3 linked regions of the Rhinolophus ferrumequinum genome follow. The protein of the gene in region 3 purifies or fractionates together with the protein of the main gene of each other region. This does not show direct contact. Links are inferred from orthologs where the notes say so. Each region holds a gene or a part of one and is shown on either strand. Other genes may lie near its edges.

Evidence for each region.
Region 1: the proteins of WWP2 (region 3) and AMOTL1 purify together in Homo sapiens (affinity purification with mass spectrometry; 3 studies listed by BioGRID and IntAct, counting the BioPlex papers as one, with this or other methods). This does not show direct contact. The link is inferred for Rhinolophus ferrumequinum from reciprocal best matches to the Homo sapiens genes WWP2 and AMOTL1.
Region 2: the proteins of WWP2 (region 3) and POLR2M purify together in Homo sapiens (affinity purification with mass spectrometry, with the first as the bait; 3 studies listed by BioGRID). This does not show direct contact. The link is inferred for Rhinolophus ferrumequinum from reciprocal best matches to the Homo sapiens genes WWP2 and POLR2M.

What each region holds. Positions count from the first base shown.
Region 1 is NC_046294.1:65,529,794-65,537,033, reverse strand, and holds the start of AMOTL1 (angiomotin-like protein 1), read right to left. Parts: upstream 3,004-7,240; 5' UTR 2,831-3,003; intron 1-2,830. UniProt on the Homo sapiens protein: Inhibits the Wnt/beta-catenin signaling pathway, probably by recruiting CTNNB1 to recycling endosomes and hence preventing its translocation to the nucleus.
Region 2 is NC_046289.1:51,654,211-51,661,992, forward strand, and holds the start of POLR2M (protein GRINL1A), read right to left. Parts: upstream 3,004-7,782; 5' UTR 2,852-3,003; coding exon 2,739-2,851; intron 988-2,738; coding exon 340-987; intron 1-339.
Region 3 is NC_046298.1:18,773,909-18,781,793, reverse strand, and holds the start of WWP2 (NEDD4-like E3 ubiquitin-protein ligase WWP2), read right to left. Parts: upstream 3,032-7,885; 5' UTR 2,948-3,031; intron 2,777-2,947; exon of another isoform or gene 2,756-2,776; intron 1-2,755. Other genes in the region: RNA-binding protein NOB1, read left to right, coding at 7,490-7,552, 7,640-7,772. UniProt on the Homo sapiens protein: E3 ubiquitin-protein ligase which accepts ubiquitin from an E2 ubiquitin-conjugating enzyme in the form of a thioester and then directly transfers the ubiquitin to targeted substrates.

The sequences.
Region 1 (7,240 bases), on a different chromosome or scaffold from region 3:
CCAACCTGCGTTCAGTGTTGTCACTTTGGTAGCTTGAAATCAGCCATGATGAGAGGGAGTATTTTTACCATGACAATGGGAAAACGCTACAAATCAGGGTTTCTTTGTTTTCCCTCCAGAAAGCCATGTTACCAGCACATGACTTTACATGGTGGCTGGCTTCCCCAGAGTTAAAATAGGCTTTAGGGCCAAGAAATTCAGGAGGAAGCAGCAAAGCTTCTTAGAACTTATTTGGGTGTCCCCAAACGTCACTTTCTTCTTATTCTATTGGCCAAACAAGTCCTTAAGGCTAGCCCCAATTCAAGAGGAGGAGAATGATCTCATCCATGTCCCATGGAAGAATAGTAAAGAAATTGTATAATATAGGACCCGGCACAGAATCAGTGCTTAATAAATCCTTGATGAATGAATGAATGAGTAAATTCACATAAGCACTAATCTGTATGTCCTTAAGTCACCCTAAAAGTATAAAACCTGGGAAGTTTTATTTCATCATCAGAGAGGTCAATGATTTTTAAGTCCTCAAAAAGCCTAAATCTGAATTTGCCTGATGTAGATCTATTTACACTCTGTCTGCAGGTATTCACAGACCGGTTTACTCAGGCCCTCCCTGCTTATGTACTCAGCTGGTACTGTCCACATGACAATGGCAGAACGCTTGTTTTATAGGTGTTTATATACTCTTTGGGTTTGCTTTACCACCTTAAGTAAACTGCAAATTCCTTAAGAGAGTTCTGTGTATTTTTTGCCACTCTTTCTTCCTACCATGCCAAAAACAGATAATTATACATACACACATACTTACAAGATATGTGATGATTAGAGATTATAAACCTTAAAAGGGAAGGGAAGAAGGAGAGGAACTAAACATTCTTAATTGCTATGTTTCAGAGCATTTCATAAATGTTCTCATTTAACTCTTGTCTTCACCCAGAAAAGTAGACATTCTTATTTCCATTTCACAGTTCGGGAAAATGTGTCTCCAGACGGTGTAGCCATCTGGTCAAGGCCACACTAGGAAGTGGAGGAACTGGGATTCAAATGTAGACCTGCCTGGTTCTAAGGCCTGAACTTCATGCATTCCTCAGGCCATCTTCCCACTGCAATACACATCCCCCACCAGCCCCCATTCTCTCTGCTTCCCTCCTTGAAGTATCTACAAGAGTCATAAAAATGTTGATGCTTCTAAACGTGATAGGGAAACAGGTGTTTCAAGTTCTGCTCTTGTAAAAAAAAAAAGAGAGAGAGAGAGAGAAAAAGAACGTCCTTTAAAAGCTTGGGAAGATAAGAAGCTCAAAACATCTTATATTGGGAAGAGAGTGAGCCTAGTAGCAGAGAAGTCAACCAAAAGGCTATTGCAATAACTCAAACAAAGAGTGTTGGTGGGTTGGACCAAGGTAGTAATGGTGGGATGGATAGATGTGAAAATTTTGAGCGATATTAAGACAGAATCAGCAGACTAGTGATTGATTGGATTGTACAGGTGGAATCACCTCGCTGCACCAGGAAAGTAAGACTGAAGAGAGGAAACCTGGATGGGAGGTTTCTGGAAACCTCCTGGGAAAAGATGATAAGAACTTAGTTAGGAAAATAGCCATGGAAGTGGGAGAATGCATGGATTTGAGAGACAACATAGAGGCAGATCTGCTGGATGTGCTGCCAAACTAGATGAGGGAATGTGAGGACAAAAGAGGGGTCAAAGGTGAAGTCCAGAAATCTGTTATTGACAACCAGGTGCTTTTTACTGAGGTAGGGACACAGAACGAGGAGCAGATTTCAGGTAAGAATGAATTCTGGACAAGCGAAGTATGAGGTGCACGTGTCAACAAACGCTGGCAGGCAGTATGTAATTGTATTTAAAACAAAACAAGCTTCTCTTGTCTAATGAGATTCTTGCTCCCTTCAGAGGTTAAGGATGAACGAACTGAATACTATGTAGTAGGGTTTTGTGTCAGCTAATACAGGGCCTTACAGTTCTCTATGTTTTCACTTCACAGTGATTCAACTCTCTCCAAAAGCCATTTATCACCCCGTAGTCCCCTCTGTCATAACCAAGATGTCTTTATTGAGCTTTTCAAAGCTAATAAGAGCTATATGATTCAATCAGCGACTACGACTCAAATAACTCACAGAAAACGTTGCAGGGAAGTAACCCTAGGACCTCAGACCTGCCTGCACACGCACACACACACACACACACACACACACACACACACAAACTCATGTTCATTTTCTTAGAACTTGTATGGACAGGCACGAAGACGTGTTTGCACATTTCTGCCCCACATAGCAGCACAGCCATTGTTCACACAAGGTGCCTACATGTCAGGACAAGATTGCCTCCTGCTATACTCTGAGGAAGACGGGAAGTGTTCAAGCCAGCAAATGAGCACATGAAGGCTCTCCAGAGAGCTGCTGCATTTCGGCACCTCAACTTTTGTCATGAGACCCTATGAGAGTTCCACGCAAAACACAAAGCCAGTAGATAGGAAGGCAAAGGGGGTAAGACAGCCCCCACCCAGAGGAGACCACCTGTAGGTGCTTCACCAACATGCTGGTTACACAACTCTTAGAACAGGCACCTGAAACCAAGCCGAGATTCAGTTTTCATGCCCACTGTGAGAACTCGCCACTGCCCCTGAGCTCTGCTCACCCAGCCCAAGTCCTGCCAGCCCACCAGGTGGACACCAGCTGCCTGGGAACCAGCCGTACTCCTCAGACAATCGATTGTCTCCTAACCTGACTCCAACTTTACCCAGAGATGCCCAAAACACTTCCCCTCAAACCAAGCTTTCCTGGATGGAAACCCACTAAATAAGAGCTTCCTTACCTGAGAGAAGGTCCCAGTGATCGGCAGTGGAAAAAAACACCAACTTCTAACAGAAGTGACAGGGACTCAGAGGGCAAATCTGTTGGTTTTAAAAGAAGAAAGGTGACTTCATCCCGAGTGCCGTGGAGTTTAAAAGAGCAACGAGTGCTCCCTGAGTGAGCCAACTCTGCCTCATCAGTGATGACTCCATCCAAATTATGCAGCCGCTGCCCAGACACGCTCAGCCTCCAGAAGGTAAATCACTGGAATCTGACTAGCCCTGTTGTTTTCAAAGAGCTTCAGAAAGTCCTGAAGCACCAATCGCCTGAAATGGGCGGCACCGGGATAGAAAAACCACTTAAGACTTAGTTCCTGAGTCGTATCATTATCTCCCAGGAATCCAACTGTCTGAAAAACAGCTTCTAGGGAAAGAAAACAGGTATTTAAATTCCTGAGAGATAAATTTTTGCAGGAAGCGGGGAGAGAAAAGAAGCAAAGTTATTTCAGTCTGGACAAGGGGCATAAGAAGCTGGAAACGATCACCTTGCTAAGAATTTTTCAGAGCTGGTAGATTTATAAGCATACAAAGGTGACAAACAGGTGACAGTCTTTGCAGAGAAGGTGGTCAGGTAAGCACAGGGGATCAGTCAATGTATGGAAAGAAATTGTGACAGCCTTTCTAAGAAGGCAACTCATTTTTATTTTCTTTTTATTGACTATAAAAAGTACCACTTAACCAATTTGGGGTCATTTATAATATTATGAGCTAATGTTATATCAGCTCAAAACATGCTCACCTTTCCCAAGATGGTTTACGACAAGAGATGTTTCAGTAAGGAATTTTCTCTTTTGTATGTTAAAGGGGAGGCTGGAGCAACTGGATGTATAACCAGGGATTCAAAGTCACGTCAAGCTACCCACGAAGCCAGGCACCTCTCCCTGATGCCACAACCTTGGGCTAGACTTTGGGCAGGCTTTCTGGCTGTGGTGCCAGGGCAGAGAAGGATAATGCGTGTGACCTCTGTTGAAAGTGGGGCAGGCAGACAGTCAAGCTTAGTGACCCAGCGCCCTTTCCCTCACACCTCTACTTCAGCAGAGTACACGGGGACTTTGGGTCAACAGGCATGTGTCCAGTTTCTTGCTGAGCTATTTTGAGACTCTGGGATCTTCTTGTGTCAAATAGAGAGAGGAAAACAAGAAAAAACCATCTCTTTCTGTTTAGATAGACGTATGCAGTTTCAACATTAGAAAGGGGTTTTTGAATTCAGAGATTTAAGAAATGTCAACATGGCTTATAAAAGGAACCTGCAAGTCTTCTGGTCAGGGCGTAAAGAATGATCAAAGTAGAAGAGGAACAAAGTTTAATCAATAGTAAGATCCATAAAAGGGCAGGGGCCATTTTTATTCACTTGATCACAGTATCCTCAAAGCCTAGCACAGAGAGTAGCCCACATAGGCGCTCAGCAGGTAGAGTAAACAGTGGCAGGCAGCCTCTTGCTGTTCAATTTCTAGAACAGATATGGTGAGAACTCTTAAAGTCACCCTCTGGTAAACAAGGCAATTACAGAGAGCACAGCCATTGAATCTTATGGAATGCAGGAGGAACTTGGCTCTTTGCTTTGCCTCAGCCTCCAGGTTCCTTGAGAGTAGAACAAAGAAAAGCAGTTTCTGGACCCAGAAGCCTCCTTTGCCTACCCTGATCCCCTATACATCAGCTAGACTCTAATGTCCTTTCCTAAGGCAAGACTCCATATAATGGGCAATCTGCCAAGCACCTTCAATTATCGTTTGTTTTCAACATTCTATCACAAAATTTTCAAACTTAAGAGATGCATTGAAAGAATTTCACAGTGAACACCCATATACTCATGTAGTTTTTTCAGTTAACGTTTTTTATTATATTTGCTTTATCATATATTGATTCTCTACCCATTTCTTTATCTATCCAGCAACTCATTTAATTACTTTTCTCATTGTGTTCCAAAGTAAGCTGCAGATATTAATACATTCCCCCTAAATATTTCAATGTTATTAACCAGAGTTCAGTATTTGTTTACAAATATTGTTTCCAATGTTCTCATACCATTTTCGCCTCCTACCAACAATGTTTCAAAGTTTTAGTTGATTTACATCGTTCCAACATCTGTTGTCCTTCTAATACCATCCATGCAGGTAATGTATGTGGTATCTCATCATTTGCATATCCTTAATTACTAAAGCTGTTGAATGTTTTTTCATGTGCTTATCAACCATTCATTTACTATCTTCTGTTCAAATCTTTTGGCTATTTTTAAGTTGAGTTGTTTGTCATTTTATTCATGGGTTTTAGGAGTTTTAGTATATCTAGGATACCAGTCCTTTGTCAGACACAATTTGCAAGTATTTTCTCCTGCCCTGTGGCTTGCCTATACATTTTCTTAATAAGGTTTCTTCTGATGACCAGAAGTTTAATTTTGATTAAGTCTAATTTCTTTTTTCTTTTTTGGTTTTTGTCTTCCCCCAGTCATGAAAATATTCTCCCATGTTTTCTTCTAGGAGTTTTATAGTTTTAGATCTTTTCTCTACGTCTATGGTCCATCACTAATTGATTTTTGTGGATAATATGATGTAGGGCAAGGTTAGTTTTTTTTCCATATAAATATGTAATTATTTCAACACCATTTGTTAAAAAGACTTTCCTTTCCCAGTTGGGTTGCTTTGACACTTTTGTCAAAAATAAAATAAATGTGTAAGTGCGGGTCTATTTCTGGGTTCTTTATTTTGTCACTCTGTTAATCCTCTGTCAGTACCACACTGTCTTGATTATTGTAGCTTTAGGGTAAGTCTTGAAGTCAAACAGTGTAAGTCTACAAACTTGATTTCTTTTTTCAAGACTTCTTGAGTATTCTAAATTCTTTGCATGTCTATAGAAATTTTAGAATCAGCTTGTCAATTTTGACTAAAAAGCATAGTAGGAGTATGACTAGGATTGTACTGAATCTGTAAATCAATTTGGTAATTGACATCTCAACAACATTGAGTCTTTCAATCCATTAATTTAGTATATCTCCCTATTTATCTACATCTTTAACTTCTCTCAGCATTTTTATTGATTTTCTGTCATTGATTTTCAGCAGTTTGACTATGATATGCCTAAATACTTTTACTTTTATTTTGTTTGTTTTTATATTAATTTTGCTTTATTGAGGTTTAAGAGTCTGTTTAGACTTTAAATTTTTTACCAAATTTATGAAATTTTCACCCATTATTTAGTCACATACTTTTCTGCATCATTCTTTCTCTCTCTCCTAACCTTCTGGGACTCCAGATATATATATATATATATATACACACACACACACACACATATGTATGTATACACACGCGCGCACACACACGTACGGTACCAAAAAATATGTATACACATTTTAAGAAAGAAAAAGACTGTATTAAAATTATGCTGATGGTAACCACTTGGAGCACCTCTTGTATTCTCAGAAGTCAAACGTGACTTGTATTCATCTTTTGTTATCGGTATATATTGAGTATTACAATTTTCATACAGTTTTTTCCTTTCTTAAAATGTGTATACATTTTTTTGGCACCCTGTGTGTGTTTATGTATGTAATATAAAATCTTCTGGGACTCCAGTTGCATTATATACATATATATATATGTATGTATGAAACTTTTTGATATTGTTGCAAAGATCTATGAGTCTCTGTACATTTATTAAATCTCTGTTCTTCAGTTTGGATCATTTCTGTTGACTACTTTCTAGTTCACTGACTTTTTGCTCTTTCATCTCCTTTCTGCTTTTAAATATGTCCACTAAATTTTCATTTCAGCTATTTGTTTTTCAGTTTTTATACTTTCACTTAGTTTTTTTTATAGCTTATTTATCATCTAAGATTTTCTATATCTTCATTATGAACATATTTTCCTTTACATATTTGAGTATATCTATAATAACTTCTTTAAAATTCTTGTCTGCTAATTCCATCATCTAGGTGATTTCAGATTTGGTCTCTGTTGATTGTTTTTTTTCTTTAAAATGAGTCATATTTTCCTGTTTCATTGTAAATTGAATAAGTTGTATCCTGATTATGAATGATATGTTGCAGAAAGTCTGGATTCTATTATGCTCTTCTGATGAGTACTGACTATTCTTTATTCAGGCCTTTTAAGTAGCTGACCTCAAGTTGCAAAACCCTGTCTCCCCTGTAGCAGCTGGGATTTCAATTCAGCTCTTCTAGCTGAAGCTTCTTAAAATTGGCCTCTTGCATATGTGGTTCAGGAGTTGGCCAGAGATCTGGGCAGAGTTGCTCTGCATATCACAGACAGGGCCCTATTCTTAAGCTAAAAGCTGCAAATCAGGAAACTCACCCAGGCCAGTCTGTTTTTCCAGTGCTTCAGTCTCTTCTGGTTTCTGTTTTTCTTCTCTCTCCAGTA
Region 2 (7,782 bases), on a different chromosome or scaffold from region 3:
TCTAATCAAAGGGGGAACTGCATACCTGAAAATGATTCTGGGAAAAAAGGAGTCACAGTAAATTCTCTGTGTTTATTATGAAATACTGACTAAGTGTCCTGAAATTTAATACTCCACTTGCTATTTAAAACCTTTTCAATTATTTGGCTAAATATTAAAGTATTTTTCAACATGAATCCTCCACTCCAGTCAGGCTGGTCTCACTGTTTTCCACATATGCTCATTCCCCACTACAAGTAGTTCTCACACAAAGTCCACTGAACTTAAAGCATTCTCCCAATTTTTTGAGTTTAACAAATAGTATGTTCCTGTGACTGGCCTGTTTTTGATGGTACTTACACATTGGTTTTAAATTTATGTGGCGAGGGCACTGGGTATTTGGCTCGCATATCTAGCACTTCCATGTAATGAGGCTTCTTCTGCATCTCACTACAAAGGCCTGTCAAGTTCTCAGTACTCCCGTTTTCTTCTGAGTGGTGTTCACCTCGGTCTGTAATTGTGATCCTTTGTAACCTATCAATAAACGAGCTGTCAGAGCTGCTAGAATTATCTTCTGCTCGACTTGACACTCGATGCTGAGGGAGATGACCACTAGCTTCGGATAAGGAAGGTGCATGGGCTCTGTTGCTGGGGGCTGGGCGCTTGTTCACCGTGTACCCCAACTCTGGGGCCTCTTCATCGCCTTTCTGGGTAGAAGATACAAGTCCTTGTTGTTGTGAGGTTGTTTCAGATGATGTGATGTTATCTACAGAGGAACAGCCAGGAACTCGTGATGAAGTATCAAGTATCTTGTCAGAATTCTGGAATTTATCCGTGTCCATCTCAACAATGGCAATTGCTTTTTGCCTTAGTTTACAGTCTAAACTAACAGGATGAAACAGTTCACTTTTTTCCATAACTTCTTCACGTTCTGCAATGGCAGCTTTCAGTTTGGCAACAGAGTCTAAGATCTTTTTACCTTTGTCGGGCAATTTGCAAATGAATTTTCTGTCAAATGGAAAAAAAACACATATACATTAGAGCCATGTTTTTAAACTTGAGATATAATGACAAAGCACTATCTTCAAAGGGAGAAAAATCAATCTGTAAGTCAAAAATCTGATTTCCAACTGCCCCGAAACATGAATGAAATAAGACAGTCATTATCCAAATACCCGCCCCCAAAAAACAAGCAGATCAAGGAAGAATAGGGAATGTGCCTCATTTGTCTCCTCTAATTAGAATTTCAGCAAAAGTATTTTAAGCATATAATACTCATGTGAGACATCCCAGAAGTCACCAGTTTTTAACGTATGATCTCTAAGGCCTTCCTGGGGAGAGGAGGTGAATGGGTCTATAAGGTCAAAAGTATTTTCGTAGTAATACTAAGACACTATTTACCAATTTTCACTCTCCTTTTTTCACATGGGTGAGTGGAGTTTTCCTGAGGCCACAGGACATGTGATTACCATTGCTCTGCTGGCTAACAGAATGTATGAACTTGTGTTTTCTTGTGCTTACGATTTCTCACTTGTAATTCCTAATACATTGACAAATGTCCACAGATATAACACACATAAAACAAGAATTCTTTAGAATACTCAATAAGACTTACGCATAGAAAGGAGTCCTGACACCAAGTTAATTCGCTGTTACAAATTAAAAATCCATTCTCACAAAGTCAAAATATTTGCTTGTACTAGGAAGCCCCCAAACGATCATGTGTCCTATTTGCTGAGGGACAGAGTTCCTTTTCTGATTCCCCTGTCTTTAGCCATACAATGGGGAGGGAAGGTTACATGTCAGGCCCTCTATTCTTCCTCGGAAACTACTTTCATTCCCACAGTTTCAATTGATAACATCCCCTCCAGTTGAGATTCCTCTATTTTCCAAGCTTTCTCCTCTCTCGAGCCTCATGACCATTTCTCCAGCTTTTAACTAGATATAATTAACTCTCCCTTCAACTCAGCACGCCCTAAGTCAAGTCAACCTGGAATCTATTCCCCTCCCCCAATTTTCCTGTGGTTAATAGTTCTCCATACAGGCCGCAATCCTCAGCCACCTGTCAACAACCTATTCAAATTATTCCAAGTCTGATGAAGTTCCCCAACTCCTCAACTACTTTTATAGTTCACTTTCTTACAAACTCCTTGTTGGCAAACTCTTTGAAAATATCTTCCTACTGTCTTCTGCCTCTTACTCCTTCAAAGCATCTTGCACCAAGCTGCTAAATTAGGCTTCCTAAAATAAATCACTTTCATCATATCGTTTCCCTGCTAAAGCGCATTGTCTGCCAACGAATGAAAGTTCAACTTTTTCTGCCTAATAAACCACTCCTCAATCCCACTCTTTCCATTTCCAACGGTTCCTATAAAAATAGTCCCTAGGGATGAAACTGACAGGCTGTTTTGGGCACGCTATGGGGGCGGGGGTGGGGAACAAAAGGATCGAGGTACAGACCCGCCCTTCAGGGAACCGACTCGGTAGCTGAGTCAATACACCAACGAGGAGCTAAAGAAGAGCTGATACCCTGAAGCGCCGTTCCGCAGCGAGCCGCCCCCACAGGCGGGCCGCGCCAGGCCAGAACGCGCACGGCTTGGCGGCTGCAGGCCGTCCGCTCGCCCGCGGGGCTGGAACGGAGCTGTCTGAGACAAGGTCACCTTCCGGGGAAGGGAACGGGGTGGGGGGCGGGGGGAGGTGCGTCCCTGGGAACCTGAACCGGAGGAGCCTGGCGGTGACTCGGCGGGACCCCAGCTTACTCGTTGCGCAAAAGTCTCTCCTGGCGCTTCAACATCTCCCGCAGCTCCGCCAAACTCCGCTGCCCCAAGCCCTCGGGAGCTTGGGGCTCGAAGCCGCGGCGCTGCGAGGACATTCTGCGGGGGCTGAGGCTGGCGAGGCGGCGGGCACTCGGCTTCCTCGGCAGCTCCCGCCGCTAGCACCGGATCTGCGGCCGGCGGGGACTGCGGAGCACGAGCGGGAGCCGCCATTTTCCCGGAAGGACAGGTCTTCTTCGAGCCGAATCGAGCTTTATTGAAACGCCGGAAATAAACACGGACAAGGAGAAGGGGGCGCCCGGAGGAGCGGAAGTTACGGCGGGTGACGTCACGCCCCGGTGGGGCGTGCGTTCGCGCCGTTTGTCGTTTCTCTGTTCATCCCCTCATTTGTTGATTTAAAAAGTATTTACTGAGTGCCACCGTGACCTCAACAAATCGCCACAGCCCCTGCTATTACGGAGTTTACCGATTGGTGGAGGGGGCAGACATTAATCAAGTAATAATAAAACAATATTAATAGTAAGATTGGTGTGAGGACCAAAGAAGGTGTTTCTAAGAAGTGAAATGTAGGTCGAAACCTGAGTGACGAGTTAGCCTTTGGTGAGAGGCTGGGGTAACGTGCAGGACGAGGCTTGGGAGGCCCTGGTCTATGATGTGGCGCCTCCTTAACCCAAGGCTGCGATGTTTTCAAAAGTTAAAGTTGAAAGGACCCTTAGGGACCATCAGCGTTCCTTCATGGGGCTCTGGCATTTGGAGCTGGACTTTAATCATGGGCAGTACTGCCTCAGGCATTGCAAGATAGTTGATGTCTGGCTTGAGAACCTCTCTTTCACAATTTCAGATTTTGCCTATAGAAAAACAAAGGCACAGAAACTGAAGTAAATATTCCCGGCGCACAAAACTAGTTAAGTGAAAACACTAGAGTTCAAATTCAAATGCCCACCTGCTCTTTTTAGGACACCAATTTGTAAGTCTCCGTTTTCACTGTATGCCTATTTCCAAGTGTTTAAAATTGTTGAAAAGTTTTTTTTAAGGCTGTTGAGAAGAGGAAGGCAGCGTAATAAGCATCGCACCCAGCTCTAACCTATTCTTTATAGTTCAGCTACCAGAGTTGGGTCCCAAAGGAAAAAGGAAGAAGCATGAAAGAGACACAGTAGATATCAATTGGGAGGTATGAATGCCCCCATAACTTCCAACACTGCCTCCCCATTCTTTGATATGGAAACTTTAATTTTCTAAATTCAATGTAAGGTGCTATAATAGACAAAAGCAATCCCTCCTAACTAGAGAAGCTCTAGAAAAAAATCTGAAGCTACTTCAGGGAGCATGGCTGAAGCCATTTCTGTGTCCTCCCAATCTTGTCCATTCTGATGAGATTAACTAATGTATAAAAATTCTCAACTTAAACCCTGCTTTCAAGGACTTCAATAGCCTGCTCCAGCCCTAGCTAAATAAATACTTGAATAAGGCCTTGGACTTAGCTAGTCACAACTTATTGCATTGTATATTTAAAATATGTCCAATGTCTATAGCATGTCAGTTATACCCCCCAATAAAGATGTAAAAAGTGCCCCTCTCTTCAGAGATTAGCTTCCTGAAAGACTTACTCTCCGGCAGATCTTCACCACTCTCACCAGTGCCATGAACCCTCTCCTGGTTGCCAAACCCAAGGGACAGATTTTAGTCTTTCTCCTTGCTGCATCTGATCCTGTTGACCATTTTCTCAAAAGTCACTCATACCATGAATTCCATGTTACCAATCTTTCCAGGAGTTTCAAATCTGGAGTATTTGTTCTGGGGCTAGAACTAGAGTCAGGGTAAGGACCTTACCACCTGGATATCCCTAAGATTTCTCAGCTTCAACTTGTTCGAAACTAAAAATTTCCTCCCCTAACCCACTCTTTGTTTTTAAAATTCTCACTGTTTAATGGCAAGACCATCCACATAGTTGTCCAAACAAGAAACTAGATATTCATACCTGACTATTCTTTTTCCCTCCACCTAACTGATTACGAAATCCTACAGCCCAAGTACCTTCTTTTCTGTACACTCTCCCTCTTGCCACCCTTTCAGCACTTCCCCATACACCCATTGTTGCCTCCATTGTCTTTGTCCAAGCCCTTGAGTGAACTACTATAATAGCTCCTAAAAGATCTTCCTGCCTGTAGCCTAAGCTGCCCTTAAAAATATCTAATTTTGCTTTCCTCACTTGGAATACTGATGTGGGAAACACCAATATCAATGTAGTAAAGACTGGAAGTGTTCGATTCCACATTTGTTGGGCCTCTCAGCATTCAGAGGTGGTCTTGCCACCATGTAGGGATCATTGGAGGGTAGGAAGGGAGTACCACAGGGGGCCAGGCAGAAGCATGCCCGGGCTCTCTGATTAGAAATGCCCAGGGTGGCAGTGGTGTGTGGTCATATTAGCTGTGACATGTGAGGCAAGTGTAAATGAAAAATTTAGCCTGATTCCTGCCAAGTAGCGGAACTTGGCAGCAGAATAATGGTTAGTGGGAGGTTCATCCCAAAAGAGAATTTAAAAGAGAGGATAGGCAGATATCAGAACCAGACAGGTTCATTAGGAACAATGATTATCAGCAAAGGAGTCTGTGATGGTTAATCTTACATGTCAACTTGCCTAGGTCACAGTGCCCAGATATTTGGCCAAACATTCTAGGTGTTTCTGTGAAAGTATTTTTTGGATGAGATTTGCATTCAAATCAGTGGACTTTCAGTAAAGTAGATTACCTGCCATAATGTAGGTGGACCTCTTCCTATCAATTAAGCCTTTACTACAACAAAGACTGACCTCCCACGAACAGAAGGAATTCTGCCAGCAGACAGCCTTCATACTTGCACTGCAACAGTGGTTCTCCCCTGGATTTCCTGCCTGCTGGTCTATCCTGCATTGATAATCACATGAACCAAGTCCTTAAAATGAAATGTATTTTAAGAAATTGGCTCATATGATTATACACACACACACATAGACACATCCTATTGGATCTTTTTCTTTGAAGAACCCTGACTAATAAGAGAGTCCAATAGCACTAATGTGTTAGGAAAATCAAGGCTTGATTGATGTCTGGACTTCAAGGTGATAGAGCCGACTGAGGAGAGGGAAGGCTACCTTTTGGTCTGCTGGCCACATGGAGAAGAGATGGGAACCAAGGGTCATAAACAAATTCGAAGAAAATTCTATTTTCTTTGGTGTGTTTTTTAAACATCCTTTTGGGAATGGAACATGCTGAACTTTCAAACAAACCATAGCAGCCATAGCTACTGGAAACTTAATAAAGAATGGTAGCCTAAGACTTTATTAAACAATAATGGCTGACATCTGTGTACCATTTACCAAACCTCCTCTTCCAGTCACTCCTTTCACTCACTGCTTTCTCAGATGAACAGAGCACTGGGGACTATCCCTACTTCACAGAGGGGACTAGCCCTACTTCACCCTGCTGCCTTTTCTGTCCATCAGTGCAGAACTTCACAAATAACTGACAGGAGCCTGGCAAGTTAGGGAAGAGAAAGTAAGGAAGGTAACAGGGAGTTGGAACTGGATATGAGATCAACAAAGTGAAAAAAAGAAAAAGGAGAGAGAAAGGAATTGGTGAAGAGGAAGACAAAAAAATGGAAGGGATAGTAAGAGGGATAACATTTCTCTACACAGAAATCAGAAACAGAAAGCTTCGGAGGAAGCTTTGTGCTGAGGAATTCACAAATTCTTCATTTCCCTCCCAGCTCTAAAATTCTACACTTCTATAAAATGTCACATTTCCCCTCTTTGTATTTCACTGTGACCCCACTGCAACAAAAGGTTTTCCTCAGCTACTCAAGGATTCAGGCTGTAAAGAACATGTACTCTACACTGAAAGTAAATTCTTGCATTAGTTATCCAAACTGTTTAAAATGAGGGACCAAATTTTCAGCTCATATCTCACTCTTTATCAGCAAATAGTAATTTAAAGCCATTTGCCAGAGCTATGGTTCCCAGGTGACAGACTGTGGCCTATTAAAATTAATCCTGACAGAAGATCCTTGCTGCTTTCTCCAAGCACATTCAGGCTGTTGGTTTATGAACAGGATGAACAGCCGGCCCATCCCAGAGGGCTGGAGAGAGGAAGCACGTTAAAATGGCCGCCTGCATCTTTGTTTGCTCAGCTGCTTGGAAAAACTAAGACTGAGGGAAATGGGATTAATCAAGAGGGCAGTTGCCCATGGAAAAAAAATAGGAAGACTCTGGTGAGAAAAATCCCAGCCAAATAAGGTTCAAATTGAAAGAATTTTTTTCTTTTCAGTCTTTCACATGGTTGAGTGTTGTTTGGTGACAAATCTCTTTTATCAGGCCACCACAGTGTTTTATGATCTTTTTGATAGTGTGGGAGATCATTTAGGAAAAAAACATTATTAAATGTTTGATATTTTTTTATTTCATTTAATTTTACTTTTTAATTAGCAAATTTAATGAATATTATTGTGATTGAATAACATCTTTTTATGACTTTTCCTATGAATAAACTCACAAACCAGAACAAAAAAGTCCTCGAAAGATCACATGTACTGATCTTTGGTAGAGACTACGTAGCTGAGGCCCCCTCCTCTCAGTTTAGAAGACAGAATCTTAAACAAGATTTAAAACATCTTTCCCTCCCCGCTTGACTTATTTCACTTCCCTTTGACATATTGGCTGAGATTCCACCAATAAAATTATTTGGTTAACCCGGATCTTCCTTGGAGACCATAGGTCCTTCTAGAAGGCTTGTGGCCTATCAGTCATTTACACATGAGTGTGAATTTGTTCCAAATAACTTTCTTACAAAAGCCTAGCTGAGGTGATGACTTACAGTGAAAGAATGGAATTTGATAGGAGAGAAAGGGAAAAAAGTGGGAAGAATTTTGAGCAATCAGAGAGAAAGAGTAGATCCGAGAGAGTGTCACAGCAGTGAGTTTAGGGTCGTAGGAAGACCCCAGAGGACCTCCTCTCCAGGACTTGGAGAGTATGTAGGGCAGGCCAAAAGGGACAATG
Region 3 (7,885 bases):
AACCTCTCCTCACCACCTCCATCACCGCGACCCACGCCGTCCTTCACCTGGATCCTGGCAATACCTCTGAACGTGTCTCCCTACTTCGTCTTGCTCCTCTTTACTCCTTCTCTGCATGGCAACCAGAGTGACCCGGTTAAAAGGCAGGATGGATGGTGGCCACTCCACTGCTCAAAACTCAATGGTCCCAACTCACTCCGAGTGAAAACTAACATCCTTACAATGGCCTGCAAGGCTCTCCCCCACCCGCCCATCTCTTTCCTTATCCCCAACACCTCTCTGACTCATCTTCCCCATCCCGTCTCACTCATATCCCTGCAGCTGCTGGCCTCCTGGATGATCCACAAACCTGCCAGGGGTGCTGTGTCTTTCAGGCTGTTGAATTTGCTGTTTCCTCTGCCTGGACCACTATGTCCCCATTCAGCCACATGGCTCCTTCCCTCACCTCCTTCAGATCTTCACTCAACCATCACTTTCTCAAGAAGTCTTCTCTCAGGACCCTAATTCAAAACTGCCACCCTAGCCAACATTCCACATCCTACTTCCCTGCTTTATTACAATACAATATGCATTTTACTGGATTCTTTTGTTTACTGTGCCTTTCCCCACTAAAATTTACTGTCCACAAGGGCAGGGATTTTTGACTTTCTCATATATTCTTTCACCGGTGTTTAGAACAGCACTGTGCAATACAATTCTTAATTTTCCAGAAAACATTTTAAAAAGTAAAAAGAAACAGGTGAATTTAATTTCAATTAATACTGTGATTAACCCAATAAACTTAAAATGTCATCATTTATACTATATATATTGATATTGATATTTATTCTAATATAAAAAATATCAATGAGATATTTTATCTTTTTTCCATATTAAGTCTTCAAAATCTGGTGTGTATTTTCTACTCATAGCATATTCTCAGTGCTCAACAGTCCCAGGTGGCAACTGGCCACCATACTGGACAAGGCAACTCTAGAACAATGCCTGGCGTAAAGTAGGCACTTATATATATTCATTGAATTAAAGAATGCTTTCCCAGGAAAAGGCGGCTATAGCACTGCACAGAGTTTTCTAAACTTCAATTGCATTCTGCATTCACAATTTTTGCTGTGATCTACATACTGCTTTTTTTCCTTAAAATGTCATGCTTTTTATACTTGAAAAAATATTTTAAAATAAAACTTTATATTGCTTCTATGAATGGAAAAGAGTGGATCTAAGGATAAAAGCCCTGGGCTGGAGTCCCTGCTCATTCATTCAGTAGCTCTGGACTCTAAAGCAAGAATTTTGCTAAGCCTCAGTTTCTTCATCTGTAGAATAAGGACAATACCAACCTTTACAGGACCATGGTGAGAATTAAATGAGATGCTGGTTATAAGTCTTTGTAAATGGAAAGTAGTCGTTAAGTAAGAGACTGAGGAGCTAACCCAAACCTTTTCCCCAGGCCTATGGTCTTCAGATGGACCAATAACAGAAAATGGCAAGTCTGTCTAAGAGAAGAGCCAGGTCCTGAGTTCAAATCCCTTATCCTCCACATACATCCACGTAACCTTTAGAAATTCATTTATTCATTTACCCAGTGCCCACAACATGCCAGGCACTAGGCTAGTAGCCAAGTAAGCTGAATAAGATGACCCCAGCACTTGAGGGGTTGCAGTCTAGCAGGGAGAAAGAAACCAGTAAACAAGATAAATAAATTGTTTAAAAAAAAAAAAAGAAGTCATCTCTTAGGTCTGTTTGTTCATTGTGAAATGAGAATAACACCTTCCCAACCTAACTCACAGGGCTGCTACAAAAATCAATTTTAAACTGTCAAATATTCCAAAAACTTGCAATCATAATACATTAGCAAAGTACTTTTTTTTCCTACTTGTCACCCAAAATGACTCTGGCTCCTGTGAATGCCCAGTTTGAACATTCACTCCAGTGATACCACATTCACGAAATTTATTTCATTGCTGCAAATTTTAGTAAACACGAAGAAAAAGACGATGAACAGCTTTTCACACAGGTGTTTAATCTCAAAATCACGATCTAGGTCATCGTTCTGAAGAACACAACACAGACCTTTCAGTTACCCTACCTAGTTACAGTTTGTCAAGATAAGCAGTCACATGGTAAGAGAAGCTGAATAATTTAAACTGAAGAAAGAGGAAAAGTCATAAAGCTGTAGAGGTAGACACTGTCCAAGGTTTCAGCAGTCGCTATGTTGCTGAGGTAACTGCTGAGCAACAGTTTAAACTAAAAGCCATTTTATGGCCAAAGTGCCCACACTTTTTTTTTTCAGCCTAGAAGTTGATCTAACCTGGGAAAACCTCAAAGAAAGATTATCAGAAGGGCTAGGTTCCCAAGAAGTGGAAACCCTATCCAGGCAGGACTAAGTGCGTGTGACGAAAGCAAGAAAAGATTCTGTGACCCATCCTAAAGTTTACAAACTGAATGGGACCGAAATCAAAGTCTCGGGTAGCAACCCGAGGAAAGAAGGAAGAGACTCAGCTGGGGTTCAAGCAGCATCTTCCTGAATTCTCCTTCTTTCCCTCCATGTCCTATGCCCATTATCAGGCTCCCCCTTCCAGTTCAGTCGCAAGTTGCCCCTTCCTCCCGTCCCGACCCTTCCTCAAAGGTCACCCCTCTCTATCCCTGGCACCTAAACTCCCTTCTCCTTCCCGAGGGACTTGCTGTCCGCCACCGCACCCCTGGCCTCCTCCGTGCCCATCTCAGAGCAACCCCCGCGAACAGCCCTCGGCGCGCCCACCGCGCCAGAGCCGGAGCCGGGACACCCCTCCTCGGAGGCCGGAACCGCCGCGTCTGGCCCCTCCCACAGGAAGCCACCGCCCCCCGGCGCCCGGGCCGCACCGCCCCCGGCCCACCCCCAGCCGCCCGCAGCCCCTGGCCCGCCCCGCACCCCCCGCGCGTCCGCCTCGCCCCCCGCGCCCGCGCTCGCTACCTGCCGCGGCCACAGAATCCGCGCCCAACTCCTCTCCCACTTCCGCCTCCCACCGCCCGCACTCGGGCTGAGTCACGTGCCCGCTTGCGGTCACCTGACCCGGAAGAGGCTGGCCGGACTCGCAGGTGCAGGCAACCTAGGCCTGGCCTGGGAGCCTTTGGCCGAGAGAAGGCCTTCTTACCCCTTTTATATGTGTAAGTGGGAGCGTTTACCACTCGCTGGACGGCTCCCAGGCAATCAAATAAATTGAGGGCTCACTGAGTGTCAGGAGTTTCATATACTCCTACCTACAACCCCGGAGGCGGGTCTATCATTAGCCCCACTATACAGGTGAGAGGAAGCCGCTCAACAATTAAGTCATCAAGTATTTATTGAGCTCCTTAGTGGGATTGTCAGATAAAATACAGGACGTCTGGTTAAATTTGAATTTCAGATAAACAACCGTGTAATATGTGTGTCCCAGATAGTGCATGGGACATATTTATACACACACAAAATGTTTATCTGAAAATCAAATTTAATTGGCCATACTGTATGTTTGCTTGCTTTATCTGGCAACCTTATGCCTACTATGAGTCAGGCACTGTTGTAGGCTTTAGATACACAAAAATCCTTTCCTGATCACACTATGTAAAATAATTTAAAATAATTTAAATAGGATGATCAGGAAATTTACATAGGGTGATCAGGAAAGGATTTTTGTGTATCTAGAGCCTACAACAGTGCCTGACTCATAGTAGGCATAGGGTTGCCAGATGAAGCAAGTAAAAATACTCTCCTACCGGCCCCTTTTCCTGCTTTATTTTTTCCTCCATATTTCCTCCAGTCTTATCACTATCTGACTTTTGTATGAATATTTGCATGTGTGTAGGTATGTACGTATGTACATAAAATACATATGTAAAATCTATTTCTCACTACAAGAATTATGAAGGCAGGAGCTATATCCCAGTGTAGTGGCTAAAACAATACCCATTTTTTACCTCACACAGGTCTGAAGTCCAGGCCAGCACAGCTAGGTTCTTTGCTCAGCGTCTCACAAGGCTGAAATTAAGGTGGCGTCGTCAGCTGGAGGCTTGACTAGGGAAAGATCTGCTTTCAAGCTCCTTAATATTGTTGGCAGATTTAACTTCCTTGTAGCCAGAGGACCGGAGTCCCTTGGTCTTGCTAGCTGTTGTCTGTGGCCACATGCAGCTCCTAGAGGCTGCTCTCAGGTCCCTGAGACGTGGCCCCCTCCACAGACCTTCCAAACTCGGGAAGCCTCTTGAAATAATTTGTTGAATGAATACATTTCAATATTTATTGAGCACTGAACTCATTGCTGTAGGTCCTACAGTGTAAGAGATTTTTTTCATTTAAGGATAAAGATCCCTAAAACCCATTCCCTGACTTCCAACCTACTTAAAGACAACAGACAACTACATTGCAAAGCATAAATAATAACTGCTCGCTGAGTGACAGAACTGAAATGTCTTAAATGTGGTGGAAAAGCAGAGTTCAAATCTGTCCTTGGGGAAAAATCTAATTTGGGTAATCAGGGACCAATTTACAGAGGGGACAATGGGCCATTTTTGGAAACTAAGCAGTGATTGGCAGGCAGAATTTTCAGGAATAAGAAAAAACAAGGGCAAAGGCAGAGACAGGAAAGTCCAGAAGAATTCTAAGAACATTTATTGATTTCACAGTGTTTCTTCTGCATCAAGTTCTCTCTCCCCTGTTAAGCATTTAGTCTCATAGCCTCTACATATTTCAATCCTGGAAACAAACTCGGATCTTCACTGGCACACAAGCAATACCTTCTCTTTCATAAAGGGTTTCTTCACATGTAAAAGTTGACATCTCCAAATGAGTTACACATTGATTCCTTCTACATGTACTTGAAAGTGTTAATTTGTTCATGTAAACACAATTTTCATAATAGCGTGTGAGATTTCTTTGCTTTTTAAAAACCGGGAGCTTCAAAACAGTGAAGTGTTTCGGGGCTCACTTCACCTCTGAGAGACCCTGTCCCCAGTCACCATGTCCTACCATAGGCTCTACCTTCAATTCCATGAACACCCCTTGGACTTTCCTATCTTGATGGCTTTGCCCTACTCATCCTTCCAGATCCATCTCCAAAGTCAAAAACTCTGAAGGTGTCCCTAGATGCTACAGAAAATATGATTTTGTTCATAGCTGTCATGTCACCCACCCTATGGTGATATAAGTTAGTTCTCAATACATAATTGTTAAATAAGTGAGAGTCCTTCTAAGGCTTTAGGGGGCTTGGAGACTAATGTTCTAAAGAAACAGAAAAGAGATTCAATTCTATTAAAAAATGACAAAAGCTACAAAGTGTCAAGAAACCTTTTAGAGGCATGTCTCATTTTATTGCTCTTCATTTTATTGCACTGCAGAGATACTGCATTTTTCACAAATTGAAGGCAAGACCTTCCATCAGCAAAAAAATTATAACACTTTATTATGGTACTCACTTTATTTCAGTGATCTGGAACTGAACCTGCAATATCTCCAAGATATGCCTGTGTATTAATAAGTATTCTTAGTATTTACTAGAAAATAAATGGCTCAAAGCCTGATCATTCTTTTCCTTTTTCCCTAATCAGTGGTTCTCAAACGTGTCCTCCAAAGGAGCAGCATCCGTATCACCTGGAAATTATTAGAAATACAAAATCTCAGGCCCTGCCCAGAACTACTGAATCAGGAACTGAGAGTGAGACCCATCAAGCTGTGTTTGCAGGTTCCCCAGGTGATTCTGACAGTCAAGTCTGAGAACCACTGATCTAAATCATTCTTCTTCCTTGTGGGGTTTACTCAATTATCGCTGCCAAGTTCAATGAACCTCTTTATTACAGATTCTAGTTCCTCCCTTGCTTTTTAGGCTACATGAGCAATCAATTGAAGAAGAAATTAGACAGGAATACTAGCATTGAGTGTATTATATTTATTAGGCATGAGATAAAAAGCTTGATTAGAGTAATGAATGTAGAGGGGACCCAGACGCCCCATACATTTCAGAAGTGACATCAATAAGGTTTAGCAAGAGAAACACAGGTTGAGAGAGAGGGTGGAAATGAGGTGACTCAGATGCTTACCTTGAATGTCTTTGTTGGTAATGCCTTTTAATGAAAATAGAAACCTTAGTATTGGAACAAAGTTTAAGCTGGGGCGGGAGAGATAATTACTTCAGTCATAACCTTCCTCCTAAGTGAAGATGCCAAAAGTTTTCAGATGATATAAACAGGGAATAAACAGGGATTAGACCTAAAGATTTGGGAGGCATTCCTATAATGTGATAACTGAAGCCTTGAGGATAGATAGTATTGCTGAAGGAGAGAGTTTAGAGAGACAAAGGGGCCAGACAGTTCTGTGGAGGGGGTCCGGTTTGCAAGGCAGAAGAAGGGAGTCCAGTAAAGAAGGATGAGAAGCCATCAGGGAGGGAAGGGACCAGAATCTTGTAGTATCACCCAAGTCAGGCAAGGAGAGACAGTCCAGAAAGAGGAGATGGGCTGCAATGTCAAATTCTACAGAGAAACTGAGAAGGCAAGAAAAAAATACCAGAAAATTGACATGATGAACTCGAAAATTAGAAAGCTTTCTATCAGGCTATTTTAGGCAGGGCAGGCAGGGCAGGAACCAGTGGCTCTGGAGGTTGAGGAGACTAAGTAAGAACAGTTCAGACAGATGTCTAGGGAAGGGAAAGGGGTTTGGGCAACTACTGAAGGGGACCTTCAGGGATTTCTGGAAGTAGGATGCATAAATTAGAAGGGAGGGCTAAGACTGGATTGAAGACTTCACAGAGGTTTGGAATAACTCAACATCTCTGAAAACTGATTACTGAAAACTCAAGTCAACATTCAGCTGAAATTCACCAGCATGAATTTATAATAGGCCAGTTCTCCTAATGATGGAATCTCAGATTGGAAAGGGAATTCAGAAATCATCTAATACCCCTCTTCAGTTCGATTCAGCAAGGAATTATTTGCTAGCAAAGTGTGTGTCTTGCTTAGGGAAGTGGAACGAGGATACTAAGGTAAATAAGGATATTAAGGTAACTTGGCCTCAAGTTACTCAAAAGGAAGTGGGGGTACGTAAGCAGCAGTCAGTATAGCATAATGGGTAAAAAAGAGGCTCCGAGTTGGTTTGTCTGGGTGTTAATCTCAGTCACAACCACTTAAGCTGGGCCTAGTTGTCTTGTAGCTATCCCTTGATCATTAAATTGGGTTATGTGTATTGACTGATTTAACAATGAGAATATATACAACTTTCACCCTTAAAAGTGGAAAAGGAGCTAAGGAGTGAGTGCTGCAGCGTATTTCCTTAGATGTACCCCAAGGTTTAACCGTGCCCGCATCCCGTGGTTGTGCTGCCGGCGTCGTCGCGCATGCGCGCGGGTAGTCCTGAGTCGGGGGATGCGGGTGCGGCCGCCAGGCGGCGCAGCTAAATCGCAGCTGCTCTTCCCGGCTCCCGGACGCCCTGAATGGGAAGTAGTGGTGAGCGCCACCTCCGTGCACATGCGTGTTTGGAGCTGGTTCGGCCAACATGGCTGCCGTGGAGCATGTTGTGGCTGATGCGGGGGCTTTCCTGCGGGACGCGGCTCTGCAGGTACTGGGAGCTCCGGTGGAGAGGAGCAGGGTGTGGGCTGGAGCGCGGGAGGTCAGGCGGCTGTGAGACGGGCCGGTCTCTCTGCAGGACATTGGGAAGAACATCTACACCATCCGGGATGTGGTCAGCGAGATTCGGGACAAGGCCACGCGCAGGCGACTCGCCGTTCTGCCCTACGAGCTGCGTTTCAAGGAGCCCTTCCCGGAATACGTGCGACTGGGTGAGTGCCTCTGCCCCGGTGCTGATGGCGAAGCTGGGTCCCAGGGTGCAAATGAGACCGGCTCGGGTAGGAGTTGGGGTCTGGCTACTTTATTAGTTGATTTAGAAACTGCA